7 linked regions of the Ovis aries genome follow. The protein of the gene in region 1 interacts with the protein of each later gene in a pairwise test. Links are inferred from orthologs where the notes say so. Each region holds a gene or a part of one and is shown in the gene's direction. Other genes may lie near its edges.

Region 1 (4,175 bases):
AGTTTACCATGGATTATCTCATTTTAGGAGAGGAGGCAGTGCAGAGCTGTGGTAAACAGCACAAGCTCTAGAATCAGATAATCCTGACACTTGTTTCCCAGTCTTGTCACATACCAGTTATATGTTCTGGGGCCTCTTTTAGTGCCTCAATTTCTCATTTGTAAAGATTTTAACCGTCTGAGACACCAGGGAAGTGCCCATTTGTAGAGTGTAATAAAACAATTTGTCTCATGCCATTGTGAGGATTAAATAAGATAATAATACCCTTAAAGCAATTAACAAGCTTTCCAGGTAGCTCAGGGGTAAAAAATCTGCCTGCCAATGTAGGAGCTACAGAAGATGCAGGTTTGAGCCCTGGGTGGGGAAGATCCCCTGGAGGAGGAAATAGCAACTCATTCCAGTATTCTTGGCTGGAAAATCCCCTGGACAGAGGAACCCCAAGGGCTATAGTCCATGGGGTTGCAAAGAATTAGACACAACTGAGGACGTAGTAAGTAGTGACCTAAAGCAATTAGCACCATGCCTGGCACATAGCAAATGCTAAAAAAAAAAAAAAGAGAGAGAGAGAGAGAGAAAGAATAACATGATGTGATGGCTTATTTTACTGGACACAGGTGATGTATCAAATATGTTCTGGGCCTCTTAAGCCTCATAACAGCTCTCTGAAGGTTTTGTCTTTATTGTGCAGTGAAGTGCACCTGCTGACTAGGTGTACTAAAGCACTTTGCTCATTCAATGCTCACAACAATCCCAGGTGTAGGTGCTATATATTATAATCCCCATCGTACAGAGGGGGATACTGAGCGTACGTTAAATAACTTGATCAAGTTCATAGCCAGCAAGAGAAGCAAGCAGGCGATTTGTTTCCAAGGTCCGTGCTGTTAACCATATTCCCTTTCAGCAACAAGTGAGGAAAACAGGCTTAGAAAGTGAAGAGATTTCCTGAGGCCTCCAGGCTGTTTTGAAACCCAGGGATTATCACCAAATCCAGCAGAGGGCGCTCCAAAACACCGCAATCTGTGGGATCGGCATCGTAGGACAAAACTACCATACCCACAATGCAGTGCGGGCATTAAGGTCCCCTTCCCAGCTTGGCCGTCTGAGGTCTTGCCTGTGTGCTCTCCAGGAGGAATATGTGTATCTGAGCCATTCGAGTCCTTCCTCAATCTTAAAATAGCACGTTAAAAGTTTTTTTCCGCTTCATCTCATCCTTGTCTTACCAGTTGGAGGGCGGAAGGATTGAGTCAACGCTGCTATTTGTCAGCTTTATTTGTCTCACCCTTACGTGAGGACCCTTAACCTTTAACCCAATATGGCGGCGCCCAGAGCTCCGCTCTTGGTGTAAATCTGAGGTTAACTCAGCCCGGGAACTCCTCATCATGTCGAAGCTAAGCCGGGCCACTCGGGCTCTCAGGAAGCCCCAGGCCGAAGGCGTGATCCGGGCCATCTTGCGGGCAGGCCAGGCCATGCCCGGGCCTCCTCTAGGCCCCATCCTGGGTCAGGTGCAGCCGCGGCAGAAGCCAGGCGTGGGAGGCGCGGGAGGGTTGGATCTAGTACGCGGGTGAGGGGTGCGGACTGGGCCAGGGCGGCCTCGTTTCAAACCTCGGCTCTGCTGCCCACATACTTTATGGCCTTGGGTTAGTTATACAACTTCTTCGAGGCTCAGCTTCCTCCGTCCTTCGTCAGCGGGCTGTTGAAAGGACAGAGAGGTATGGAGCACACGAATCATCTGGCACATAAAATGGTAGTTGAATGTGGGTAGAGAGGAAAGGATGGGTATACTTAGAGACGTGAAGACGGAGGAGAGAAGGGATGGAGCCTCCTGGGTGGAAGGAACCCGGCCCTTCCTCCCCACGCTTACCACCATGCCTCCCTCACAGCGAGGCGTCTCCATCAACCAGTTTTGTAAGGAGTTCAACGAGAAGACCAAGGACATCAAAGCAGGCATTCCTCTGCCTACCAAGATTTTTGTGAAGGTGCGGAGTCGGGACTCTGATCCCCAATTTTCTTATTCTCCTCAAGGCCTGGAGCTGGTCACCTGGAGTTGCTACTTGGCTCCCCACTTGGGGCAAACCTGTTTTTTAAAAATATATAGTTTTGTTTACTTGGCTGCACCGGGTCTTAGTTGAGGCCGTTGTTGGCTGTGCTGGGTCTTGGTTGCTGCCTGCAGGCTGTCTGTAGTTGCGGTGCTCGGGTTTCTGTTGTTGAGCACAGGCTCAGTAGTTGTGGTCCACAAGCTTAGGTTGGTATCTGGGATCTTCCCTGACCAGGGATCGAACCTGTGTCCCCTGCATTGACAGGCAGATTCTTAAGCACTGGACACCACCAAGGAAGTCCAGAATCTCTTCTTGATGCCGGGCCCCCTTTCCCCTTTTACACAGTGGAGACTAGACCATATCTTTCCTGAGTGCGCCCTACCGTGTTGTAGATCTTTTTTTTTTTTTGTCCCTCCAACTTGCCAGGGCTTCCAGAGCAGAGTTGGACCTGGAATAGAGGTGACAGGGACATTTGTTAGAAGTTTATTTTTCCTGTGGTTTTATGGTCAGTTGAAGGGGCAACATAGGAAGATGAGCTGAGGTGGGGCGGGCAGGAAGTCAGTAGCTCCTTGGGCTGGGGCAGCAGGGCTTGGGGCAGGCAGGAAGAGTCTCATAACTCTTTTTTTCCCTTAAGCCCGACAGAACATTTGAAATAAAAATTGGCCAGCCCACTGTTTCCTACTTCCTGAAGGCCGCTGCTGGGATTGAGAAGGGGGCCCGGAACACAGGTAAGGGGCAGGCGGGGCATCTGGGCTTCCGGGGGCCTGGAAGGAAGCAGCGACTCCTGAAGGGCTGCTTGTGCTTTGCTTCCAGGGAAAGAGGTGGCCGGCCTGGTGACACTGAAGCACGTGTATGAGATCGCCCGCGTCAAAGCTCGGGATGACGCCTTTGCCCTCCAGGATGTGCCCCTGTCCTCTGTTGTCCGCTCCATCATTGGCTCTGCCCGTTCCCTGGGTATTCGTGTGGTGAAGGAGTGAGTATCTGGGGGAAGCTCAGTGTGAGAGAAGGGCCTGGAAAGTTCTTGACTCTGGGACAAAGCTGAGGTCCCACTGAGTGGGAGAGTCAGCGTCTGTGTTAAAGGATCTTAGATTCTCATTCATTCATTTGGAATATAATTGTTATGCACCCAATGTGTATTAGACTGTTCTGGACACTGGATACAGTCAGGAAGGGAGGTAGCCATGCTTGGCCTTGCTTTTAAGGAGCTCCCAGTCCAGAGATGGAGGCAGATCCATAATGGAGCATTATACCGCTGGATGGTCAGCCCTGATAAAAGAAACCACAAGTGTCTTGAGAACAGGGAGTAGGGTTCCTGATTTTGCTTGTGTGTCAATGAAGGCTTTGGCGAGCAGTTGACATCCAAGCAGAGCCCTGGGAAAGGAGGTCAGGGACTAGGGACAAGCATTCCAAGAAGTGGAAAAATCCCTGTGAAGAATGTCAGGTGAAGAGTGGAGCAGAGAAGGTGTGATCTGGGTGTATTACGCTAGAGACAGAGTGGGACATAGTAGGAGGTGAGGCAAACAGGGTCTAGTTGGTTCTCAAATCTAGACCTGATCCTGAGGCCAACAGAGGGCTCCTCATGGGGCTTTGGAGACCTCAGGAAGGTGAGATGTTGTGTGGGAGAGTGTGTGGCCCAGACGACAGCAGGGGAAGCACTCAGCCCTTCCCTGGCCTCTTGCTGCTGCTGTCACACCGCATGCAAAGGCCGATGGTTATTTCCCAAGAGGAGCGGGGGTAAGCATGGAGCGGGGGTGGGATTTACTTTGCTCAGATCTTTACTTGTTCTGGGAATATAGCAGTGAGCAAATCTGGTCCCTGCTCTGAGAGATGTACATGTACCACCTGATGACTTCTTTGTACAAAATGTTTTTGGGCTCAGAGAGCGGGCAGGTTAATCTGGATTGGGATTTAGCTGTTCTAATCCTCCAAGGATAAGGAGAGATTTAAGAAAATAGTAAAAGGCAGAGGTGATGGCGGAGTGACACTCCTGGCAGAGAAGAGAGATGAGCGAAGGTGTGAGGGCTGGGAGGGTCTTCCCTGTAGCTCAGATGGTAAAGAATCTGCCTGCAATGCAGGAGACCTGGGTTTGGAAGATCCCCTAGAGAAGGCAATGGCAACCCACTCCAATATTCTTGCCTG
Region 2 (4,281 bases), on another chromosome or scaffold:
GGCCATCAGCATCTCAGTTAAAGGCACTGCCATCCATCTTACGTGCTCAAGCCAGAAACTCAAGCTCGTGTCTGCCTGCGTGCACAGCTGTGTCTGACTCTGCCATCCCATGGACTCTATAATCAGCCAGGCTCCTCTGCCTATGAATTTTCTAGACAGGAACAATGGGATGCGTTGCTATTTTCTACTCCACCTTGATTCTTCTCTTCCTCCTTTCCATCTAGCAGCAGGCCCTGGCGTTTCTACCTCTCACATACTCAGACCCTGCCACCACCTTAGACCAAAGGAACCATTCTCTTCCTTGCCTCTTAATTGGTCCGCTCACTTTCTGTTACCCCTTTCTGATACACAGTCACAATGACCTTTTAAATATGTTTATCACATCTCCCTGAGGCCTAAAATGACTCCGTGGCTTCCCACTGAGCTACCATCCAGACCAACTTAGGAGCCTTCCCCTCACTTCATGCCCTTCTCCCCTGGCTCACTGGGCTCTACCCACAGCCTCCATTCCGTTCCCAGAAAAGACAGAACTCTACTGCCTGATCGCCTTAGTTGGCACCCATTCCCTTTTTCCCATTCTTTGGTTAAATGTTCCCTTCTCAGACATTAGGCTGTGACCCTCTCCTCTACCCTCATTAGCCTTACAGCATTCTAATGTATTCAGATTCAGGCATCTTGGCACAATGTGATTTTATTTACCTTTTTATTGTCTGTCTTCCCCTTACTAGAACAGCTGCTCTATGAAGATGTGCCAGCCTTGCTCACCGATTAAAAAAAAAGAGAGAGAGCCATGAGATGACAACAGTTAGCCATCAGCACCGACGAAAGGGGCAAGCCGAGGAGGGAAAACGTCCCTCAGACGGGTTTTCCCAACAGCACCTGGGGATCGTTAGGATTATTACAGCCGCCAAGGACTTAGTCTCGGCCTCCCAGGAAGACTGGGCCTGGCGTGTGTGCGGGTGTCCGCTTTTGCTGTTGCGACCTCTTCCCCGAGCTCCTCAGAGTTCCGAATACCTAAAGAGGCAGGTACCGGGAAGGAGAGGAGCCCAGCACGTTCTACAAATCACTCCAACTGGGGCTCCCCTTTTAAAGAGACGAACCCAATTACCCGACCACCTCAGCTTTGCACCTGTCCTGCTTCAGGTTGGGCCAGCGGACCCAACAGAATCACCTAATTCTCCAACCTCAGCCGCACGGGATACGTAAGCCAGGGAAGCATCGAAGAAGGCGGGACTGGTCCTGCGCTCCTGCCCCTCTCCTCCCACCTAGTTCCTTCTTCCTTCCGGAGACTCGGGGGCCCCGCCCACTTCCGCAACGCCGGCCTCAGCCAATGGCCTGCGTCCCAGGGAACGTTACCTCTGACCTTAGGGCTAATCAGAAACAGTAGGACGAACTCCTCGCGAGAGGTGAGGTTGAAGCTGCCTCCGCCATCTTGGAGATGGGAGACGGGCGATGGCTGTGGTCTTTCCGCTAATGCAAACAACAAAACGGGCACATTAGTGACTCCCGAGTGAGGCCCTCATCAGTCTGACTGTTGGCCAAAGCTACAGAAGAAGTGAGGGTGTCAAAGCAGAGCGCAGCGACACTGATAACAGCCTCAACTGCCCGCTGGGGCGGCAGAAGTGAGGTAACTGAGGACCGGAAGGATGGTACAGTCCTGTTCCGCCTACGGCTGCAAGAATCGATACGACAAGGATAAACCCGTTTCTTTTCACAAGTAAGGACCCCGCGTAGCTCGCGGGGATGGGCCCTAGTGGGACCGCGGGGGGCGCGCGGCCGCGCTCGGGGGGCGGAGCCAGGCGTTTTTCCGCGCAAGACCTGTGAGAGGGGCGGGGCCGGGCGCGGGCCTGCGCGAGACCCAGTGCTAAGGCCGCGCTCGGGGAGCGGAGCCAGGCGCGTTTCCGCGCGAGACCGGTGAGAGGGGCGGGGCCGGGCGGGGGCGTGCGCAAGACCCGGTACGAAGGGCGCGCTCGGGGGCGGAGCCAGGCGCGTTTCCACGCGAGACCTGTAAGAGGGGCGGGGCCGGGCGCGGTCCTGCACGAGACCCAGTGCGAAGGCCGCGCTCGGGGGCGGAGCCAGGCGCGTTTCCGCGCGAGACCGGTGAGAGGGGCGGGGCCGGACAGTGGGCGTGTCTCCAAGCCGCCGCCTCAAGCTAGAGTTGCGCGTCCCCGGGGCTGCTCGCCCTCGCGCTCAGGCTGGCGCGCTTCTCTGGGTGGCGGGTTCGAAGCTCGCGGGCGCTGTGTGGAGTCCCCGCTGGTTGTGAAGGTGCCACACCCGGGCCGCGGAGAAGGCAGGTGGTAATAACTCTTAGAAGGGAAGTTGAAGCAGAAGCGAAGTCCCGCCTTTCCCACCCTGCTGGTCCGGCATCGGTGAGGTGAGGACTCACCTTGCGGTGTCAGGGAGCACGTCTTGGACTTAGCTTCTGGGACCCCACCGTTAAGGACGGCTGAGCTCCGGAGAAAGCCTCAGGGACTGCCAAGATGTGCAGTGTAGCCCGGGCGGTGACAGTGCGTCTTGCGTGGTGAGGGGGGCCCTCAGGGTCAGGGTTAGCGCGACCCCGCCCTCGGGGCTGCTTCTCCTGGACGCTGCTGCGGCCAGAGCCTAAGAAGAAAGAAGCCTCACTGAAAAGAGCCGCGCAACGGAATAATGATGATCTGATGTCCGCACGATGCCATTTTCAATCGGCCAAATTCAACATTTACAAATTCCGTTAGGTTTAAAGTGTCTTGCAAAAATTTCCCACTGTAAATGGGTGATAGCTAACGGAGAATCGGTGGTAGAGTATACAAATTGTTTGTAGGTGGTTGTTAAGTTGCTAAGTAGTGTCTCACTCTTTGCGACCCCGTGGACCGTAGTGCGCCAGGCTTCCCTGTCCTTCCCTGCCTCCCGGAGTTTGCTCAAACTGATGGCCTTTGAGTGGGTGATGCCAATCAACCATCTTATCCGCTGTCGCCCCCTTCTATTGCCCGCAGTCTTTCCCAGTATCAGGATCTTTTCCAGTCAGCTCTTCACATCATGTGAGCAAAGTATTGGAGCTTCAGCTTCAGTACCTTCCAGTGAATATTGAGGGTTGATTTCCTTTACTATTGATTGGTTTGATATCCTAGTCCAAGGGACTCTCAAGAGTCTTCTCCAACACCACAGTTCAAAGGCATCAATTCTTCAGCGCTCATCCTTCTTTATGGTCCAACTCTCACATCCACAAGACTGCTACAAAAACCATAGGTTTGACTAGACGGACCTTTGTCGGCAAAGGGATGTCTCTGCCTTTTTATATATTGTCTAGGTTTTGTCATGGCTTTTTTTCCAGGGAGCAAGCATCTATTTTTTCACACCTTTTAATTTCATGGCTGCAGTCACCATCCACAGTGATTTTGGAGCCCAAGAAAATAAAATCTGCCACGATTTCCTTTTTTTTTTTTTTGCGTCTTCTATTTGCCATGAAGTGATGGGACCAGATGCCATGATCTTAGTTTTTGAATGCTGTTTTAAATTAGCTTTTTCACTCTCCTCTTTCACCTTCCTCAAGAGGCTTTTTAGTTTCTCTTCACATTCTGCCATTAGGGTGGTATTATCTGCATTATCTGAGGTTGATATTTCTCCTGGCAGTCTTGATCGCAGCTTGTGATTCATCCAGCCTGACATTTCACATGATGTATTCTGTATATAAGTCAAATAAGCAGGGTGACAGTATAACTCCTTTTCCAGTTTTGAACCAGTCAGTTGTTCCATGTCCAGCTCTAACTGTTGCTTCTTGACCTGCATACAGGTTTCTCTGGCGGCAGGAAAGTCTGGTGGTCTGGTATTCCCATCTCTTTGAAAATTTTCCACAGTTTGTTGTGATCCACACATCCACACATTTATAGGTAAATAATTACTAAAGCAAAATCTTAAATTTGGGGGGAATAAGGACCTTCCATGTTTAACAGTGAATGTGGGTGCATTTTTATACATTTGGTATGAGAACAAAAATCAGAGTGTGTAGGGTATAGAGAGATCTTGAGAATGTTGATTTTTTTTCCCCCTTCTAAGAAACAGAACACTTAACACTTCTAATGTTGCCTCTTGATTGATTAGAATTTCTGAAAGCTAATGGGGGAACTCCAGCAGTTCCAATGTGAAGGAACAGATCTGGAGATGGTGACGTGATCACAGACTTTCAGCTCCCCCCCCCCCCAGCCCCATTTCTAACGATGTGGCTGAGGGAATACAGACATAAGGAAAACCCTTCACTGGCACTGGTTAAGGATGACGTTCACACGTTTCAGAAATACGGAGTTT
Region 3 (4,217 bases), on another chromosome or scaffold:
ATGTTAAGATGAAGGAGGAATACAACACATATTCAAGCCTCAGCTATTTAAATGTTTTTATTGAGGCTCACTTTTCTTGCATGGTATTTATTACCAGACTGGCAAGCCTAACTTCTTAGGTTTACAGGAAGTATGCATATTTTTATAAAACAATTGTATGTCCTCCCCATATTTTTGCTGTGTTAATATTTGCCTCTAACAATTTGCAGCTGTTTCACCTTTTCCTCATTTGTCTCTCAGTCGAAGGCCTTGTTGGAGGGGACAGAGCACAGGAACAGCCTTGACAGTCTGTAATTATTGTACAAATATTTTAATAGCATATAAATAAGTATATTCCTTTTATTTTGAAAAAAAAATCAGACACTGCCTTCTGTGTGTTTGCTGCCTGTGGCACCCTTTTTTAAAAAGACTGTTACATATTAAAATAGTGTACATATATATAAATATTACCTCTTTTGCTGTACAGTTGTGATAGACCAGACGGAAGATTTTATTTTTTGTGTGCTTTTTATAAAAAAAAAAATTAACACACTAAAGAAAATCTTGCTGATGTGATTGTAATGTACCTATGTAACTTATTTACTTTTGAATGTTCTTCTGTATCTTTAAACCTTTTATTAAATAAGGTTTTAAAAATTCATAGTTGAATGCTGTGTCCTTTAGGGGAGATTTTCACCATCTAGGATTGACGTAAATTGGCCTTGGTTTGCTTGCAAGGAATTACTTGAAATTTTTGAGCCATAAGCATTCTGTTTTATCAGCCCTTTGTCAGTGATGCCAGGACAGGGGAAATAACACACTAGCGTTTGCCTGGCTACAAAGGTTACTTAATAGATCTAGATCTTACAAAATTTTAGAAGAAAAAGGCTCAACTCAGTGTCTGACAGGAGAACACTGCACACTTCCAGCGTTTTAGTCTTATTGGAATGAAGTTCGCGGAGGGTGCACAGTGCGATCGATCGGCTGGTACTGCATCTGTTTTTAAACAGCAAACTTTGGGAGTTAGTGATGGACCAGGAGACCTGGCGTGCTGCAGTCCATGGGGTCGCAAACAGTCGGACATGATTGAGCGACTGAACTGGACTGGTTGAAGGAGCGACGTGAGTTAAGTCTTTCTTGACAGACTCATATCATCTTCAATGCACTCCAGAATTATATTAAACTTTTAAACACAGTGCTTTGTTTAAAAAGGAAAAAAAATCTGGAAAATGAAAAAGGACATGCGCCATCAGAGGACGCTCCGCGGGCCCTTAGCTGGCACCATGGCAACCGCAGGCAGCCGGAGCGTCAGGGTCTGGAGTCTTCCAGGCCGCCGTTGCCTTGGCTACGCTCGCGCAGGATTCGGCTGCGGGGGCGGGGCGAAAGCCACTCGTCGGCCGGCCCCGCCCCTCGCTGCGGCAGTAACGCCTGGGCTGGCTGCGGGTCGGTCAGGCCGGCAGCCCCTCAACGCCGTTCGGGGTCAGCTCGCCGCAGCCCACGCGCAGCCGCTGCGGCCTGCCTTCGCCGGCGCCGCCTCTAGCCTCGCTCCCGCCTCCTTCCCGCGCCTCGGCTGCTGGTGCTCAGGGTATCCGACTGTCCTCGCCGCCCAGAGAGGTGTACCTGCGCCAGCGAAGAAGCCGCTCTTGGGCTGGCCTCGCTGCGACCTCTGGACAGTCTCCCCCTGCAGGGACGGCACAGTTCGCAGTCTGCAGAGGAGCGGCTCCTCGCGCGCCTGAAGGCCGAGCTCTGACCGCGGAAGCCGGGTTGATGCCAGGAGGGGCAGCAGCGAGTGGTCGGCTCCTGGGCTGCGGAGAACTGGCGGCCACGCCCCGGGATCACACCCCGGCGGCCTCTTCAGAGCGCGGCGTCTCCTGCCTTCTCCTCCTGCCTTCCCTCCGGGCCTCTGCGCGGAGACACGACACCCTGCCTGCAAGTGCGGGACCCGGCCCGCGGACGCCGACCGGAGACACGAGATGGCGTTGGGCGCGTGACTGAGCATCCCCCAAGTTTCGCTCCGAGGACGCGGAGGACGGACGTTGGTGGAGGCAGTGAAAGGACGAGAGCTGGACTCTGGTGTCGTTTGTTAATTGTGATTGCTTGAAGCTTGACTCCCTTGGGCAAATTGCAGGGGAGTGTCCGCTGTCGTCCTAAGTCCTTTAGCACAGGGAGCCACAGTCTTAACTTATCTAACCCCCTGATAACCCAACTATCAGGGGCTCTTGATAGTTGGGGAAAATGGCGATGACACTGTTGGAAGACTGGTGCAGAGGGATGGATGTGAATTCCCAGAGAGCCCTGCTGGTCTGGGGGATCCCGGTGAACTGCGATGAGGCTGAAATCGAAGAGACCCTCCAGGCTGCGATGCCCCAGGTGCACTATCGAGTGCTTGGGAGAATGTTCTGGAGGGAAGAGAATGCCAAAGCAGCCTTGTTAGAGCTCACTGGAACTGTGGATTACGCTGCCATCCCTAGGGAGATGCCGGGTAAAGGAGGGGTCTGGAAAGTAGTCTTTAAGCCTCCGACTTCCGACGCTGAATTTCTAGAAAGGTTGCATCTCTTCCTAGCCCGAGAGGGATGGACTGTGCAAGATGTTGCCCGTGTCCTTGGGTTTGAGAACCCCGCTCCGGCCCCAGGCCCAGATATGCCAGCAGAGATGCTAAACTATATTTTGGATAATGTTATTAAGCCTCTTATAGAATCCATATGGTACAAGAAGCTGACGTTGTTCTCGGGGAGGGACATCCCGGGGCCTGGGGAGGAGACATTTGAGCCCTGGCTGGAGCACGCTAATGAGGTCATTGAGGAGTGGCAGGTGTCTGATATAGAAAAGAGGCGGCGGTTGATGGAGAGTCTTCGAGGCCCTGCTGCTGATGTCATCCGCATCCTCAAGACCAACAACCCAGATATTACCACCGCCGAATGCCTGAAGGCGCTTGAGCAGGTGTTTGGAAGCGTGGAGAGCTCCAGGGATGTGCAGGTCAGATTTCTGAACACTTACCAGAACCCGGGAGAAAAATTATCTGCTTATGTCATTCGTCTGGAGCCTCTGCTGCAGAAAGTGGTGGAGAAGGGAGCCATAGATAAAGATAACGTGAACCAAGCCCGCCTGGAACAAGTCATTGCCGGGGCCAACCACAGCGGGGCCATCCGAAGGCAGCTATGGCTGACTGGGGCTGCGGAAGGGCCGGCCCCTAACCTCTTCCAGTTGCTTGTGCAGATCCGTGAGGAGGAGGCCAAGGAAGAGGAGGAGGCGGCTGAAGCCGCCCTCTTGCAGTTAGGCCTGGAGGGGCACTTCTGAGTCCCGAGAAAACTGACTTTAGTGCAGACCTAGATCACAGCTGCTTTTCGTGTCTCTGTGCTGTCCTGCAGGTATGTCACCTAGTGGTAAAGACTTAGCGTGGTTTTTCTGGGGTAAGTCAGGCCTGCATATTCACGTTAACATTGGTAAAAGCTTGCAAGCCAGCACCAGAGCTGCTGCAGTATGAGTCATGTCAGCCACAATGCCAGGGAGAGACTTGGACAGTGCAAATTGTCAGTGCTGCAAGCTGTCATGGCGTCATCATCATCAGTTGTGAAAACCATGGGAACTCGTGACACTTCCCAGAGGTAACTGAATGTGAAATTGCATGTTCAGAAGTTTTTAGTGCACGGCCTGGCTCACACAAGAAGTGTTGAGTAAAAATGTGAACTGTTGTTATTACTACTATTGTGAGTAGTTTTTGTGTTTACTGTAAATTGTTTCTGATTTATATTAATGGAAAGAAATGTGAATTAGATATTATTCAACTTTACAGTGCAAATTTCTCATTTTTCATCTTTAAACATCTAGATCAGTTTGAGACGTGTTCTGAGGCTGCAAAAGGAGTTGTTAGAAATACTGCACTTAGAGTTGTGTAAATCAAGTTTTCACTGAACAAGATACGAATAGAACAGGGAGGTTAATATGAACCAGCTCAGTATCTATTCCCCCATTTCAAATCTTTATCATTGAAGAAGTTTACCTTGTTCATGCTGGTTCTAAGTGTTCTAAATTTGAAGTTATCAAGCACATGTTTATTAATAAAAATATTTTAAAAATTCTGTTGTCTTGTTTTTCTGACATGTATGAAAACTTTCAGTGTAATTAAGCTCTATGATCTTCTTCGGAAGACTTCGCCATGTCACTGAAAAAAACCCCAAACCTCAGTTCTTTTACTTTAAGCTTTATATCATACTATGTAATTTAAAGTTTCAGTACCT
Region 4 (2,984 bases), on another chromosome or scaffold:
CAAGCCATGAGAATCTTAAGGATAGCAGACCACACGAATGAAAGCAACCTGTTTCCTTGTCAGCTGGTACCTGCACCTGCCTTATTCCCTGTCTAGCAGTCTTCACCTCACACTGGACTGCTTTATTCCTTGTGCTACCTTTTCCTCACGTCTAAACTGTCGCCACGACCTTAAAAAAATAGGGCACGAATAAGGTTGAGTGGGTGTCGAGCGTTGGATCATCAAGTATTCTCCAGCTTAGATGTAGTGGTGTTCCTGGTGGGCCACAACTTCCAAATGGTGGTTTTAAGTACCTACCCATGCAGGCACTTCCTCACAGCCACTCAGCTGTGTCTTGAGATGAACCTGTTGGGTAGCAGCAATCAAAATTCACCCGGCAGCAATCAAAAAGGATTTATATCTAAATTATAGATTCTCTAAAGCAGTCATTTTGATACTTTTTTAAAAAGCAGCAAAATCTTTTCTGGAATTATATCCAACTCCCCAAATATAAAAAGTACAAAATCAGATACCCTGGTTTCCCCCATTAGAATTAGGACTCTGCAATAACAGATTGGATACAGTAATTTAAAATATTCCATCTTTGCCTCACTTCCCCTGTTGCCTAGGAGGAGCATTACTTTTCAGAATCATCCCATGATGCTGAAGCAATGATAAAAACTCTAATTTATTGAGCCTTTAGTATAGGCATAATGTCAGTTGCATTTTTTTAGTCATAACCTTGCAGGTAGATGCTGTTATCACCTTTTATTCTGATGGGAAACTAAGGCTTCAGCAAGCACTCTCGGGAGTGGTGAAGCTGTGATTCATCTCAGATTTGTCTCACCCTAGACCTCTACCTCTAACAGCTCTAGGCCCCGCCTATACAACACCTAGCACACAGTAGGTGCTCTGTAAAAACATATGTAACTTTACATACGCTCAACATTATCTTCAGTTTTTACACATGAGGAAACTGAGGCGCCTGTAAGTTCAGACAGAACTGGGATTCAAACTTCCTATGTAATGCTGGCCTTAATCACATTCATATCCACTATGCCATGCTGCCTCCACTTACCCTCTGAAGGTTCTCAAACTGTATTGCATTCAAGGTCTGCATGGCCTTCAGTTTGTTAAGATTTTCTTGTTAAAAGGGAATGGTGACATGCATTAGAATGCTGCCAAATTTTTCTGTTCATCATATAAAATTTCCGATATTACACTGCTCTATCTGTAACTTTTACATAGGCATGCTGTCCTCTCCGTAATGTGTTACAGGGACTATTTGTAAACTCAGATGGGAGTCCTTGAAAAGTAAAGGGTGACAGATAATGTTAGTCTCTAATGCCCACACAGGGAACATTTAACAGGGAATTGAGTTAAAACTCCATCACCAGGAAGTCCCTGGTGGCCCAGTGGTTAGTACTCAGCACTTCCAATGCAGGGGCATGGGCTCAATCCCTGGTTGAGGAACTAAGATCCCCACAAGCCACGTGGCAAAAAAAAAAAAAAGTCAAACTGGGGCCCAGAATTATTCTGGGAAATAGCTTGGGCAGGTTTCCAGGAATAAAGCACAGTCAGAGGCTTTCTCTGCAGTCCCCACACCCATGTTGAGCCTGGGAGCCCTGGTGCCACTGGGTAGCTTGCAGGACCTGGTTACAGTTTATAATGAGCCTGCCCACCTGGTTCCAAGAAGAAAGCTGGACTGAAGAGATAAGAGCTGCAGGCCTCCCGCCCTGTGTGGAGGCGGCTGTTAAGGTCTGAGGGAGCTCTCTAGGCTTCCTGGAGAGAGACAGCAGTTGGAAGAGACAAAGGCTGGGAAAAAGGGGAATAACCTTTGTTCTGCGGAAGTCTTGGGGAAGGAAACATTCACCTCCCTCTACCCTCTCCGGATCAAAACCAAGGGGAACTCCATTCATCCCAGATCATTGACCCATCTCATCCTAATGAGACTTAGAAAAAAATTAAACTCAGTCACCTTCCCGCAACACTCCACCACCAAGAAAAGAAGAAAAGAAAAGGGAGCTGGGTAGAGGGACAGTGCTGTTCTACCTTCTGTACCTTCTAGATTCTCACACTTTGTATTCCTAATCTTCCACATTTTAGAGATAATCTAGAGATAACTCAAGAAATAGTCTGTTAGGAGCTAAAGTGTTCTGAGATTACATACATCTCTTTGGGTTTTCTAGGTGAATCTTCATTCTGTCACTCTTGTTGCATGAACTTAGAGGGTGAAGTGAATTTGAAGGGGAAAGATAAAGGCTCTAAGGATGTTTTCCTTTTTTTTAACCTCAGAAGTCAGATAATCATCTTGGTGACAACACTCACTATTTTTGTGACTTGGAATAATTTAACTTCTCTGGACTTTGGTTTTTTCATACCTATAGGGGGAATTATAGCAGGCTCTGATGATTTATAAGGTTATGAAAATTAAATGAGAAATTGTTAAACACTTTAAAAGCAATCCAGTACAGTACACATAGAAAATTGTTTTTGGAGCCCAACGTTTTGTTTGGTAGAAATTGAGCAATGGCCTGAAAGGGGAACCCCAGTGATCGAGCTGTTTCTCTTCTTATTACAGCTATCTCTGAAGGGCACAAATCAGAAAGCACCATGCCTCCTAATAAAGAGGCCAGCAGCCTTAATAGCTCCCCTGCGGGCCTCATCTGCCTCCCTCCAATCTCTGAGGAACTACAGCTTGTGTGGACCCAAGCAGCCCAGACCAGTGAGCTGGACAGCAATGAACACTTGCTCCAAACCTTCAGCTACTTCCCCTACCCCAGTTTAGCAGACATTGCCCTTCTTTGCCTGCGCTATGGGCTGCAGATGGAGAAAGTCAAGACTTGGTTCATGGCCCAGCGCCTTCGCTGTGGCATTAGCTGGTCATCTGAAGAAATTGAAGAGACTCGAGCCCGAGTAGTCTACCATCGGGACCAACTCCATTTCAAATCCCTTCTCTCTTTTACTCATCATGCAGGGCGGCCCCCAGAGGAAGTGCCTCCTTC
Region 5 (3,683 bases), on another chromosome or scaffold:
TGAGTGTAAACTCATGTTTATCTTTGTGAGCGTGTTCTCAAGTGTTAATTAAATGAGCTTGTGTTTTTAAATGCAAATGCTTATAGTATTTGGTCTGTAGGAAAAGAGCCAAGAATTGAAATTTTAATTTTAGCTAGCTAAAATAGCAATTTTTAAAAATAATTTTTAATTAATATTTCCCTAAATGTGTGGAATTTTGAACCATTTATGGCACTTTAATTGTATAGTTCTGTGGAGGGAAAATTAAAAATCCCTTTAGTTCTAATCACATTTCTTTCTTGCCTTGTTTTTGTTCTGTTTTGGCTGCTTCGGGTCATTAGAGTGTTTTCCTCGTTAGTACACCTGTTGGTGGATAAGTTAAAATTTTTATTAGCTTATTAACTTTTAGAATGGATTAGAGAGACATAGTGAGTACATGAACAACATGAAAATTTAAATTAACTCTAGGCTTTCATCTGTCCTAGTGTCTTTTTTTTCACCTTATGTTAAAGATGACACAATAACAAAAATAAATGCTAGAGTATATAAAAGTATATTTAATTGTATAATGTTTGGGGTAGTTGATGTTTTAGACTTAATAAATGTATTGTAAGTTTTGTATACTGTTAAATGTTTAGATTCAACTGCTGTGGAAATAGGATCCTGCCTTTCATTTCTATATGGTATTAATAGAAGTACTGAGAAAGGTGTTATATTGACTTAAGACTTACTGAATAGTATGAAGGATTAGAAAAATGGCTTAACATCTTTTCTCAAAGAATGTGGCTTTCCTATATATCTTATATAATAAATATATAAAGAACAATTTTTGTGGCATTTTAGAATATTTTTAGCTAGCAGTTTTTTTCTTTATTGAATGTGAACTTGATTCTAGCCAAACTATAGTGAAATTCTCATCTAATGTTTATATTGTTCCTTCTTTGTTTACTTAGTGTATGAATAGATGGTTTTGAATAATTGTTTTGAATTAGATATTTCTGCTTTAGGATTCCATTTATTTCACAGTATACTGACCTTCAAGTCAGGAAGCTAATATACTGAGCAAAGTAATTTTTAGTAATCTTATTTTCTGCCTTGTTACAGCTGAGACAGATTTTGACAATCTAACTAAGGGACAAGTCTCTGAAATGACCAAAGAAATTGCTGACAAAACAGAAAAATATAATAAATGTAAACAACTCTTGCAGGTAAGCTAATTCCCTTGTAAGGAAGAGATATATCAAATGTAATGGCTTATCTTATCTTTTTTGTTTTGATTGGGTATCCCAGAGTTTGTTTCTTTCTCTTGTTTTTTTTAAGGGGGGTTGCGGGAGGTGGCTCTAGGACACACGGGCTTCAGTAGTTGCAGCACATAAGCTCTGCAGTTGCAGCGCATGGGCTTAGTTGTTCTGAGAGCTTCCTGCACCGGGGATCAAACTGGTGTCTCCTGCATTTGCAGGTGGATTCTGTACCACTGAGCCACTAGGGAAGCCCTCAAAGTTTCTTTACCCTTGTATCCTGATGTTTAGTTTCACTTTTGAAGTGGGGGGTGTTCTGTGTACTTATCCATGTAGGCATGTGTGTAAAATCATGATCTAGGGAATTCCCTGGTGGTCCAGTGGATTAGGTCTTGGTGCTTTCACTGCTGTGGGCATGGGTTCGATCTGTGGTTGAGGTACTAAGATCCTGCAAATGTTACATTGTTGGGGGGCGGGAAATCGTGATTGTTTTCTGTTCCCCTAATATCCTTCTCTTGATAATGGGTAAAGGATTAATTGATGTTGGATGTTGTCTGTCTTCTAAGGATACATGAAAAGTCTCTGAACTGTGTAAAAAGAAAGTAGTCTTTTTTCCTATATGTACTGTAATAATAGCAAAGACTTTCACCACATCCTAAAGTGAGTAGATTTGTAAAGTGGAAAAAGGGAATGTTAGCCAAGTGAATGGTTGCCTTTACTATTATTTATTTTGATTCTATTAAACTGTAATAGTAAAACATTTAAATTTTGCAGTTGTCCTAGCAGCATTCACTCTGGGGTATATAAAGGACAAAGGGAAAATGCTTCTCATTTGTATCTGATTGGGGGAAGGGAGGAAAAGGTGTTTTGTGTAGTATGTGGTTTTCGTTTGTTCAGTTAAATATTTTTTTCTGTGTTTGTTTCTCTGTACATGTGGAGAGGCAAGGGGTAATTTTTAAAGCCGTGGAATGAAGTTTATATATTAGCCCAACGTTACTATAGTAATTGGGCTTCCCGGGTAGTAGTAAAGAACCCACCTACCAGTGCAGGAGATAAAAGAGACACAGTTCAGTCCATGGGTCAGGAAGATTTCCTGAAGGGGAGGACTTGGCAACCCACTCCAGTATTCTTGCCTGGAGAATCCCATGGACAGAGGAGCCTGGTGGGCTACAATCCATAGGGTCACAAAGGGTCAGACAGGACTGAAATGACTTAACACACTATAGTAACTAATGTAAAATATTTTATGTTATAGTCTTAATAATAGTTTAATCCTTTAATAAGACTTTAAGCTGAGTATTTTTGTTGCTTCAGAAGATCCTTTTATAGAGGATTGATTATCCTTGAGGTCAAAATAGTTGTTTATGAGGGACTAAACTATTTTTCAGTAAGTGAGACAATTTTGGATGAATATTTTAAAAAACCTCATTGTATTATCAAAAGGAAGATAGAATGTGTTTTTTCCAGCTGAAAACTTCTGTGTTGTAGTACAACTGAAATTCAGTAAACTGCACATGTTTAAGGTCTGCAGTTTGTTTAGTTTTGCTGTATTTATAGCTGTGGAGCTATCACAATGTCATGCTAATGGACATTTCCACTACCTTCAAATCTTTTTTGTACCCTTTTGCAACTCATTGCTCCCTCTCTCCCCTTTTCCTGGGAAATCATTGGCTTGCTTTCTGCCGCTGTAGATTAGCCTACCTTTTGTACAGTTTCTATAAATGGAATCATATGTACACTCTTCTTTTCCTGTCCCCTTTCATCACAGTTATTTTGAGATTTATTTATATAGTTGCCTATTATTGGTAGTTCATTCCTTTTTATTATGAGAGTTCATTTTTTTGCCATTTAAAAAATTGTTTTCATCTTATTATTGAGTTGTGTTCTTTATTCCAGATACAAATCCTTTGTCTGATATGTGTGATTTTATCCCAGTCTGTGGCTTGCCTTTTTATTTCCTTAATGATGTTTTTGTAGAAGGAAATGGCAACCTACTCCAGTACTCTTGCCTGGAAAATTCCATGGGTGGAGGAGCCTGGTAGGCTACAGTCCATGGGGTCTCAAAGAGTTGGACATGACTGGGTGACATCACTTTCTTTCTTTCTGTAGTTCCTTTTGGAGAAGGAAATGGCAACCCACTCCAGGGTTCTTGCCTGGAGAATCCCATGAACAGAGGGGCCTGGTGGGCTACACAGTCTGTGGGGTTGCAAAGAGTCGGACATGACTAAGCAACTAACACACACACAATGGTGTTTTTAGAAAAAGTTTTAGTTTTGCTGAAGTATAGATTCTTAATTTATTCTTTATGTATTGTTCTTATTTTCTAAGGAAAAAAATGCTAACAGAACTTGTAATGATTTTTTTCTTGTCTTCTGTTAAGTTTTGTAGTCTTAGAGTCTTTTAAGCCTGTTATTTGTGAATGGTGAGTTGTGGTACATACACTATTGATCCAGCATTATTTGTTGA
Region 6 (3,683 bases), on another chromosome or scaffold:
GCCAAAATTTTTGTTCATAATTTCTCCTGTCTCTTTTAAGCTTTGTTGTCATTGTATAGTTGCTCAGTCGTGTCTGACTCTTTGCAGCCCCCATGGACTGTAGCGCACCAGGCTTCCCTGTCCTTCATTATTCTTCAGAGTTTGCTCAAACTCGTGTCCATTGAGTCAGTGACACCATCCAACCATCTCATTCTCTGTCGCCCCCTTCTCCTCCCGCCCTCAATCTTTCCCAGCATCAGAGTCTTCTTCCAATGAGTCAGCTCTTGGCATCAGGTGGCCAGAGTATTGGAGCTTCAGGAAGTCCATCCTCCTGCAGAAAGCAAACCTTTCCTTACAGATTGTTTAAAGTGAAACTACAACTGAGCTGCTCAGCTGAAATTATTTTCTTAATGCGACGAGTTGAGCGGAGTGAAATAACCATCTACTGCAGCAACCTTCTCAGAAATGGGGTTTTGTGTTCTAGGACCCAGGAGAGCCACTAAGGACTGTCCACGAAGAGTCCTCCTTATGCAGAGGCGCTGCCTGGAGCTGTGATGGAGGAGGGAGCTGGGGAGGCACCGGGGCTGGGCAGGTCTGCTGCTTCTAAGGATTTCCGCTTCTATCACATGGATCTGTACGACTCTGAAGACAGACTGCAGATCTTCCCAGAAGAGAGTGCTCAGATGAGAAGAGAAGGTGTCCACGCTGAAATGACCCATGAGCCCATGAGAGGGGGTGTGAAAGGGAAGGCTCTGGGAGACCTTGGAGAGGAAGTGGATGAACTTGTCCATCCCTATGGACTTGAAGATGATCACGAATTAGGGGATGAGTTTATTGAGGAAAACACACCCAGAATAGAGGTTTCAGAATATCCTTCTTATATGATGATGGGGAGTGAGCAGAGAGACTGGAGACTTACTGGTGAGACGGCTCAGGGTGAGGACCTGGGCTTCATGGGGTGGGGCTCAGCAGGCCAGTGCCAGGACTTGCGGGAAGCCTATAAGTACAGCCACGGCCGTGCCAGCGAGGAGTACGAGTGCTACGTCATCCCAGAGGAGGAGGACGAGGAAGAAGCGGCTGACATCTTCTGTGTCACTTGCAAAACTCCAGTAAGAGCATCAGAGAAGGATCAGGATGAACACAAGCAGCATGAGGTGACTCCGCTCAGTAAAGCCCTGGAGAGCGCCAAGGTAAGTAGGCCTGCTTAGGTCTTCTTTCTGTTGAGATTGTATTTGTATCTCAAGTATGTAGGCGGGGAATGAATCTAAAATGCCTTCTACGAGAGAGAAAAAACATAGTGTTAATGTCTTCTTGGGATTTGACAGGATGAAATTCACAAAAATATGTACAAGTTGGAAAAGCAAATTATTGAGATGGAAAACTTTGCAAGTCACTTAGAAGAGGTTTTCATCACGGTGGAGGTAAGAGCACGCTCAATGACTCCGTCAGATACAGGCAGCCATGAGTGGTGAGTCAGCAGCTGTGTCTGGTATGAATTAGGGAAGCTATTTCTTGGAATGTATGATGTTGATGCAGCTCCTGTTCCCTCACCCCTCTGTCTACCTTCCCATAGCACAGGGGCATAAACCTGTGGAACCAACTACCTGGCAGCATTCCCTCCCGAACCTTAGCCCTCATGGGCTGGGTCTTCAGTATCTTTACGTCTCCACTCACACTATAAGTTAGGACTCTTTCATGGGCCAGCCAAAAAGACATTGCAAGACACCCATCCTGTCACTGATGTGTTCTTTTCCTTAGATGTTACCTGTTTCTCACACCACCAGTAAGTTTCTGTGCCTGTCACCAAACATGTCACAGTTCCCTGGGTGTGCCTCGTAGGTATATCATCTACTGCTGGACGCCAGCACACAACCTAGCCATTGGGATGAGGTAGCCCACGAATGCGACCAGAGGACTTCCTCTGTCCCCTCCCTTCATGTGGGTGCTCTACCTCTTAATGCAGCTCAGATTGCATCAGTGGGAGCATCTTGTGTGAATGAACTAAGCCCTGGGCTCCTTTCCCATGAAGCTAGACTTTCCTCCCCACCCCCAGTCTTGAAAGGGAGGGGAGCTGTTGCGCTAATCTCCTATGGAAGACGCAGGGAAGGGACCAGCCCTTCCACATCCAAGCACTGGGTGGTGGGTGATAGGAGGGTGAGCGCACAGCAGCCAGGAAAAAGCGCCCTGCACTCCGTGCTGCCCGCTGCGCTCAGTTCACAGTGTCTCCACCCTCTGCAAGGACCCTGGCCTCTTCCTTGGCACTCAGCACTGGTGGGGGTCGTCTACCGCTTCTCCCTCTCTTCAAGCATTCTAAGCAAGTCTTACATATGCAGTCAATACTCAGTAAACACTCCCCGAACCCGCAGAGCTCTCCAGGGTTTCCAGTCCAAGTGGGACCAGGAGTTGATAAAGTTTAATTAATATTTCCCATCCATTGTATTCCAGGATTAAATACTGGCACAGCCAGTATCTCTCTGTCTTCCTGCTTTTTCTGATCTATTAGACGGCCCCACCTGGGTTATTCCCCCCCCCCCCCCTGCATCTTTTTCTTGGTTGTTATGAGGATCTGTGTGATCCTGATGTTTGTATAATTCAACCATCAAGGAGTGGAGGTGAATGTCATGAGATATTGAGAGCTCAAGAGGGAAAGCAAGTTAGGTAGGACTCTTCCAGGGCAGACGTCTTCACGTTAAGGTCCAGAGTTCCAGTGGCAGGCTGACTCATTATGGTAATGATAATCATAATAATCTTCCAAGTCAGTTGTCATGGTGATGGGAGGTGGCTACACCAGAGGTGGGTGGGGTATGGGGAAGAGGATTGTAAAATGCCACCAGCAAAGAAAGCAATACTTCTTGTTAAGATTATCCCTGGGGTTCTAGCTGGAGACTCCTGGTCCTAATTCCACCTTTGTCCACCTCAGCCTCCTGGCAAGAGACAATAAGATTAACAGGGAGGGACCAAAACATCTCTGAGTAGATGCATTTTCATGCCCCAGATGACTCTTCAGTCAACATAAATGCACTGAAATGACAGCTGAAATCGACTGTATCTTGCAGGAGAATTTTGGAAGACAAGAACAAAACTTTGAGTCTCATTACAATGAGATCTTGGAAACACTTGCTCAAAAATATGAAGAAAAAATACAAGCTTTAGGGGAGAAAAAAAAAGAGAAACTGGAAGCTTTATATGGACAACTGGTCAGCTGTGGAGAAAATCTTGACACCTGCAAAGAACTGATGGAAACAATAGAGGAGATGTGTCATGAAGAGAAGGTTGATTTCATAAAGGTCAGTAATGAAGTGAAATGAAATAATGAGCTGGAATGACAGTCATGGCCAGAGTAGGTTAGGTTGTCCCCTCTCTGCCTGAAGGGGTTGGAACCGACTTTCATGGTCCGCATCCATCTGGTTCCACTGGATGTGTAACCATGACAACACATCCCCCATCTCACTGCCCAGCTTCACTGGGTAGCCAAGCAGGCTCGCACACAGCTGACCCTCCCCTCTACCACCGCTCAGCTAACGCCAGAGTCTGTGTTCCTCTGCCCTGGTTACCCAGAGATAGGTGCTCTCACCGTGGAGTGGGGCAAAAACAGGACTCTGAGACTTCTCTGGCCATCTCAGATGATCTCTCAGAGGTCAGGGGAGAAAGATGTCCAGGCTAGAAAGGCACCTCCTGTTTCTCAGTTACAAGTGCCACCGCTA
Region 7 (4,424 bases), on another chromosome or scaffold:
TCAGCCCCTACTAGGTCGCGTGACCGACATCTAACCTTCCCACTACCCCGCCCCCGCCGCCACAGCAAGAAATCTCGCGAGAAACCGCCTTACTATCAGAACTTCGGGAGGTTACCGGGGAGTTACTCAGGAGGGAAGGTGTGGCTCGGCTGCGGAGTGCTCGCTTTCGTTCTGTTCACGTTCATGGCCCAAGCAGAGGCTTTTGGGGATTGCCAGAGTCTGAGCAACCCAGTCTAGAAAACGGCGGCGGAGGTGGAGAGTGAGGCGGCCGTCATATCAGAAGTGAAACGTGGCGGGGCGGGCGTCGCCCCTCGCCGAAGAGGCCGCGGGGGAGGGAGGAACCCCGCGCAGAGCGCCCGGGAGCGGGCGCAGTGGCTTCTGCCGGGGCGGGCGCACCATCATCGGGGCTTGGGGGAGGCAGGGACCCGTCTCTGGAAGCAGCGTTTTGCCCACATCCGGCCCCCACTGTGTCAACACCGACTCAAGCCGAGACGAAGCGCCTGCACCTCTGGCCCTACCGGGGCACCGCGGCTCGGGGGGCGGTCCCTGGTGCCCGGCGTCCACACCCAGGCTGGGGGCCCCCGCGACCCCCGGCCGCAGTTTCCGCAGTCCACGAGTTACCCCGCTTCTTCCCGCTAAATCGGCCCCACGTTCCGGCAGAAGCCTAATTGCGGGTTTAACTGTAATTTTCTTGTCTCGCCTCCTTCACCTACACCCTCTCCAGGCGTCTCCCCCGCACATCCTCCTCCACCCACCTGGTCTCTCCCTAGACGGGCGTGCGCGCGTGTGAGACCCGGGGAGGGAGGGAAGGGAAGGAGGAATCCGCGGAGGGACAGGGTGAGAGTCGCTAGCGGGAGGGATAGGATCGGCACCAGGGGGCTTCGGGAGGGAGGGGGCACTGGCAGGCGGAGGGAGCGGCGGGAGGAGGCGCTGGGGCGGAGGCGGAGGCCCGGGGACGGCGGACGAGGCTTCGCCCGAGCGGAGCGCTGTCTTTCGCCGCGCAGTCTCGGAGCCGCCGCGGGCTCGTGTGGAGCGCGAGGCCGCCGAGGTGCGGGCGGGAGGGAGGCCGGCTCCGGCGCGCCCCGCGCCCGCGCCCGCTGACAGCTGCAGCTGGGCTCGCGCCGTCCGCTCCCGGCTCCGCGGCCTCCGCCCCCTCGGGCTCCCTCCCCTCCGCCTCTACCCCTCCTGCCCCGGTGCGGATCGTTTCGCAACTGCTCGCCTCTCGCCCCGTGCCCGGCTGTTTTCCATCTCCCGGCCCCTCTTCTTGAGTACTTTGCGCCTGCATCTGGGGAGAGGGTCTAGAAAGGGGTCGGAGGGAGCGTCGGGAGAAGAAGGAAGCGAGGCCCGGAGGAGGAGGAGGATCGGCGGACAGCAGGGAGGAGACCCCACGCCACCCTCTCTGGTCATCTCCCCTCCCGCCCCGCCCCTGCGCACACTCCCTCGCCGGCGAGCTACTTTCGGACGAGGAAAGTGAGGGCGGCCCTGGGTGACAGCGCCGCGGGGCGAGTCCCGGGGAAGCCGCGCGTCTGCTTTCGTCTGGTCCGCCGCGCTCCCAGCCAGGGGGACAGCCCGGACCGAGGATGGCTTCGACTACAACCTGCACCAGGTTCACGGACGAGTATCAGCTTTTCGAGGAGCTCGGAAAGTAAGCGCCTTTGCCGGGTACTCGCACGTCCCCTTTCCAGCAGAGGGCGGGTCGTGTTACCCCCGACCCACGGGCCTCCCGCGTGGGGCGAGCGAGTTGGGAGACGGGAGGAGAGGGAGGAGGGCCCCCGGTGTGTCGGCTCGGAGGAAGGTGTTGTCTTAGTAAGAGGAGGGGACGACTAAGGGGAAAGACCTTCCACCCCGGCTGTGGCCCTTTCTGATAATCCTTAGCCCACCTTCTCCCGCTCCCCCACCCTCCTGCACTAGAGACTTAGTGGATTTACGATCCCTGCAGTTGTAGCTGTCATCCTGAGAAGTGTGCGAGCGCGCGCGCGCGTGCGCGTGTGTGTATGAAGAGGAAACAAGAACCCATGTAAAATGCAACATAGATCACGTTTTCTGTAAATAGAGATGCCGCCGGGTTCGCCGGCGAGTCAGCCATACGACCCACGTTCAGATGAGAACTCACTGCCCCAGACGGTGCCATATTTATTGATGCCGAAAGTTCAACTTGGCGTAGAGTCTGTTTCGCATCCAGTAGTTGTTCTGTCCGGGAAAAGAGCCTCCCAAACGAACTCGACCCCCTGTCCCATATCCACTATTATTCCTTGCACTAGATTGCTCGCTTATCATCACCCTTCCTAGGATTTACATGAACATCTTCGAGTTCTCTGGGAGGATTTATTTACACAGGCAGTGGAAAAGCCCTCTGGAGACTGGGAGAGTGCTTCCCAGGGGTAACCTAACGTTGTATGTTGTTTGAAAACGACCTTCTACACCTGACCGACAGGACTACTTGGCAATGTTAAGGAAGGAGACAGGAGACCTACTGAGAACCTGTGCAAAAGAACCTAGGGGCCGAGCCGTGAACGTTAATTTATGTAGCATCAAACCCAACCCCAGTTCCACTATCGCTAATGTCGAACATTACTCAAGAAAGGTGCATTTATGTGTATGTTGTTGTTTTCTACAGTTGAGTTAAAGGACGTGTAAATATCTTTTAAATGTAATGAAGATCACATCCTCATATATTTATGTTGTCTGCTGTGAAAACATGGAGAATATGTCGGAAGAGCAGCTTAATTCAAATCTCTCCCCTCCCCCAGTCCAAAACAGGGCAGAGAGAAATCACCACAGCAGGATTTGTTAAACCACACACAAATATTCCTAAGATTTATTTTAATGAAAGCAATCGCCATATTTACTTACTTGGAGCCACATTAATTTTTTTTTCCTACCAGAATAAATAGGCAGCAGATTTTTGCTGCTCCTCTTCAGCTCTTTGCAGGATTTTTTCTCAGAGCATTTGGTGCTGAGTGTGAATTGTAAAATGTTTTCAAATTTCATGTGCAAACAAGAGTCGTCATTATTGGCAGTTCCTTTCATTTTGTTGATTAATAATGTGTGCTCCCAGTTAAGTAAAATTTATTTTTGTTCTTCAACGTTAAAGAAGGCCTGAGTTTCCAGGAAGGATTGTTCGTTTTCTAGTTATTACTATATGGTGCACTGATATTTGACAGTTCACTAAATTCAATAAAAATACTCAGATGTAAGTTTTTAATAGAATATCAAGCTGATTATACTGATGACCTGCTAATTATTGGTTTTCAGGGGGGCATTCTCAGTGGTGAGAAGATGTATGAAAATCCCTACTGGACAAGAATATGCTGCCAAAATTATCAACACCAAAAAGCTTTCTGCTAGGGGTGGGTATTTTCAACCACATATATGTTAATTGTGCATTTGTCCTGTTGGTTATTGGTTCTGTTGTATGTTGGTTGTGTTCTATGTAAATAAGTCATTTAGTTATAATTGTAGCTGTAGGTATCATATTACCTTTTGAGATTATTTCCTTCCTGAGTGCTTCTTGGTTTGTGCAGTTTAAAAATGTGACAAAATACAATTGTTACTTGATAAATTGTTATTAAAATCTTACCTTTTCCGTGGGTAATAACATAACTAACTACATTTTAAAGCAAATACATGTCACTAAGTGCAATTTGCCTTTAGCTCCACTGTGAAATAACTTTCAGAAAAACCCTGGAATGGAAAAATGTAAGTCTCACAACTGTCATTATTCCCTTTTGCTTTTGAGAGGAAAAATAGGTCATAACTCAGTTAAATCATATATTTCAATTGTAGTTACACTTGAACTTAATTCATTAAGGTATATTTAACAGTAATGGCTTTGGGAGGAACATTTTATGGTTGCTATATTCCAGGAAATTCAGCTTGATTTTGATGTTTCTGAGTGCAGTTTAGACCTTTACTTGATCATCTGCAGTAAGACTTCTCACTCATGTAATGTATTTTACACATGCTTTATAACTGCAAAGATAATTCATACTCATAAAATAGCTGTTGACATAAGCAAAAAACTTGGAGGGGTCTCATTGCATTCTTTTTATTTTGTTGAACTCATGCAAAAGTACTTATACCAAAAGGTTCGGCATTCCAATTATTGTGAGCACGTGTCTAAGGTATTAATATTTTCATGGGAATTTATGGTTTGATGAAATTAAAATGAAGAAAATGCCATAGTGTAAGCCCCTTTCAGTGACCTGATTTAAGTAATGAGAAAAGAAATCCCATCAGGGTTGCTTTTCCTTCTTTAATTTGCTTCCTAGTATCTGGTATCATTGTATCTGGTCTCTGCCATAATTTTTTTTTTTTCCTCCTCTTTGTTGCAGATTCTGCTTTTAATGTGTAATTTAGGTTGACATTTCAGTTTATTCATTTAAGTGAAACTTTGTATTTCTTTCACCTGATTTTAATGAGTC

What was found.
Region 2: the proteins of MRPL11 (region 1) and THAP1 interact in binary tests that used the Homo sapiens proteins (3 or more experiments, as listed by UniProt). The two-hybrid records come from large-scale screens. The link is inferred for Ovis aries from reciprocal best matches to the Homo sapiens genes MRPL11 and THAP1.
Region 3: the proteins of MRPL11 (region 1) and PNMA1 interact in binary tests that used the Homo sapiens proteins (3 or more experiments, as listed by UniProt). The two-hybrid records come from large-scale screens. The link is inferred for Ovis aries from reciprocal best matches to the Homo sapiens genes MRPL11 and PNMA1.
Region 4: the proteins of MRPL11 (region 1) and HOMEZ interact in binary tests that used the Homo sapiens proteins (3 or more experiments, as listed by UniProt). The two-hybrid records come from large-scale screens. The link is inferred for Ovis aries from reciprocal best matches to the Homo sapiens genes MRPL11 and HOMEZ.
Region 5: the proteins of MRPL11 (region 1) and TAX1BP1 interact in binary tests that used the Homo sapiens proteins (3 or more experiments, as listed by UniProt). The two-hybrid records come from large-scale screens. The link is inferred for Ovis aries from reciprocal best matches to the Homo sapiens genes MRPL11 and TAX1BP1.
Region 6: the proteins of MRPL11 (region 1) and FSD2 interact in binary tests that used the Homo sapiens proteins (3 or more experiments, as listed by UniProt). The two-hybrid records come from large-scale screens. The link is inferred for Ovis aries from reciprocal best matches to the Homo sapiens genes MRPL11 and FSD2.
Region 7: the proteins of MRPL11 (region 1) and CAMK2D interact in binary tests that used the Homo sapiens proteins (3 or more experiments, as listed by UniProt). The two-hybrid records come from large-scale screens. The link is inferred for Ovis aries from reciprocal best matches to the Homo sapiens genes MRPL11 and CAMK2D.

What each region holds. Positions count from the first base shown.
Region 1 is NC_056074.1:40,911,132-40,915,306, reverse strand, and holds the start of MRPL11 (large ribosomal subunit protein uL11m), read left to right. Parts: upstream 1-1,304; 5' UTR 1,305-1,379; coding exon 1,380-1,502; intron 1,503-1,880; coding exon 1,881-1,976; intron 1,977-2,670; coding exon 2,671-2,764; intron 2,765-2,849; coding exon 2,850-3,009; intron 3,010-4,175.
Region 2 is NC_056079.1:36,888,492-36,892,772, reverse strand, and holds the start of THAP1 (THAP domain-containing protein 1), read left to right. Parts: upstream 1-1,420; 5' UTR 1,421-1,646; coding exon 1,647-1,717; intron 1,718-4,281. UniProt on the Homo sapiens protein: DNA-binding transcription regulator that regulates endothelial cell proliferation and G1/S cell-cycle progression.
Region 3 is NC_056060.1:83,213,394-83,217,610, reverse strand, and holds PNMA1 (paraneoplastic antigen Ma1), read left to right. Parts: upstream 1-1,399; 5' UTR 1,400-2,214; coding exon 2,215-3,276; 3' UTR 3,277-4,058; downstream 4,059-4,217.
Region 4 is NC_056060.1:21,432,129-21,435,112, forward strand, and holds part of HOMEZ (homeobox and leucine zipper protein Homez), read left to right. Parts: intron 1-2,560; coding exon 2,561-2,984. UniProt on the Homo sapiens protein: May function as a transcriptional regulator.
Region 5 is NC_056057.1:69,918,491-69,922,173, reverse strand, and holds part of TAX1BP1 (tax1-binding protein 1), read left to right. Parts: intron 1-1,083; coding exon 1,084-1,187; intron 1,188-3,683.
Region 6 is NC_056071.1:22,376,353-22,380,035, reverse strand, and holds part of FSD2 (fibronectin type III and SPRY domain-containing protein 2), read left to right. Parts: intron 1-463; 5' UTR 464-533; coding exon 534-1,169; intron 1,170-1,304; coding exon 1,305-1,400; intron 1,401-3,035; coding exon 3,036-3,266; intron 3,267-3,683.
Region 7 is NC_056059.1:12,176,449-12,180,872, forward strand, and holds the start of CAMK2D (calcium/calmodulin-dependent protein kinase type II subunit delta), read left to right. Parts: upstream 1-1,463; 5' UTR 1,464-1,580; coding exon 1,581-1,645; intron 1,646-3,255; coding exon 3,256-3,350; intron 3,351-4,424. UniProt on the Homo sapiens protein: Calcium/calmodulin-dependent protein kinase involved in the regulation of Ca(2+) homeostatis and excitation-contraction coupling (ECC) in heart by targeting ion channels, transporters and accessory proteins involved in Ca(2+) influx into the myocyte, Ca(2+) release from the sarcoplasmic reticulum (SR), SR Ca(2+) uptake and Na(+) and K(+) channel transport.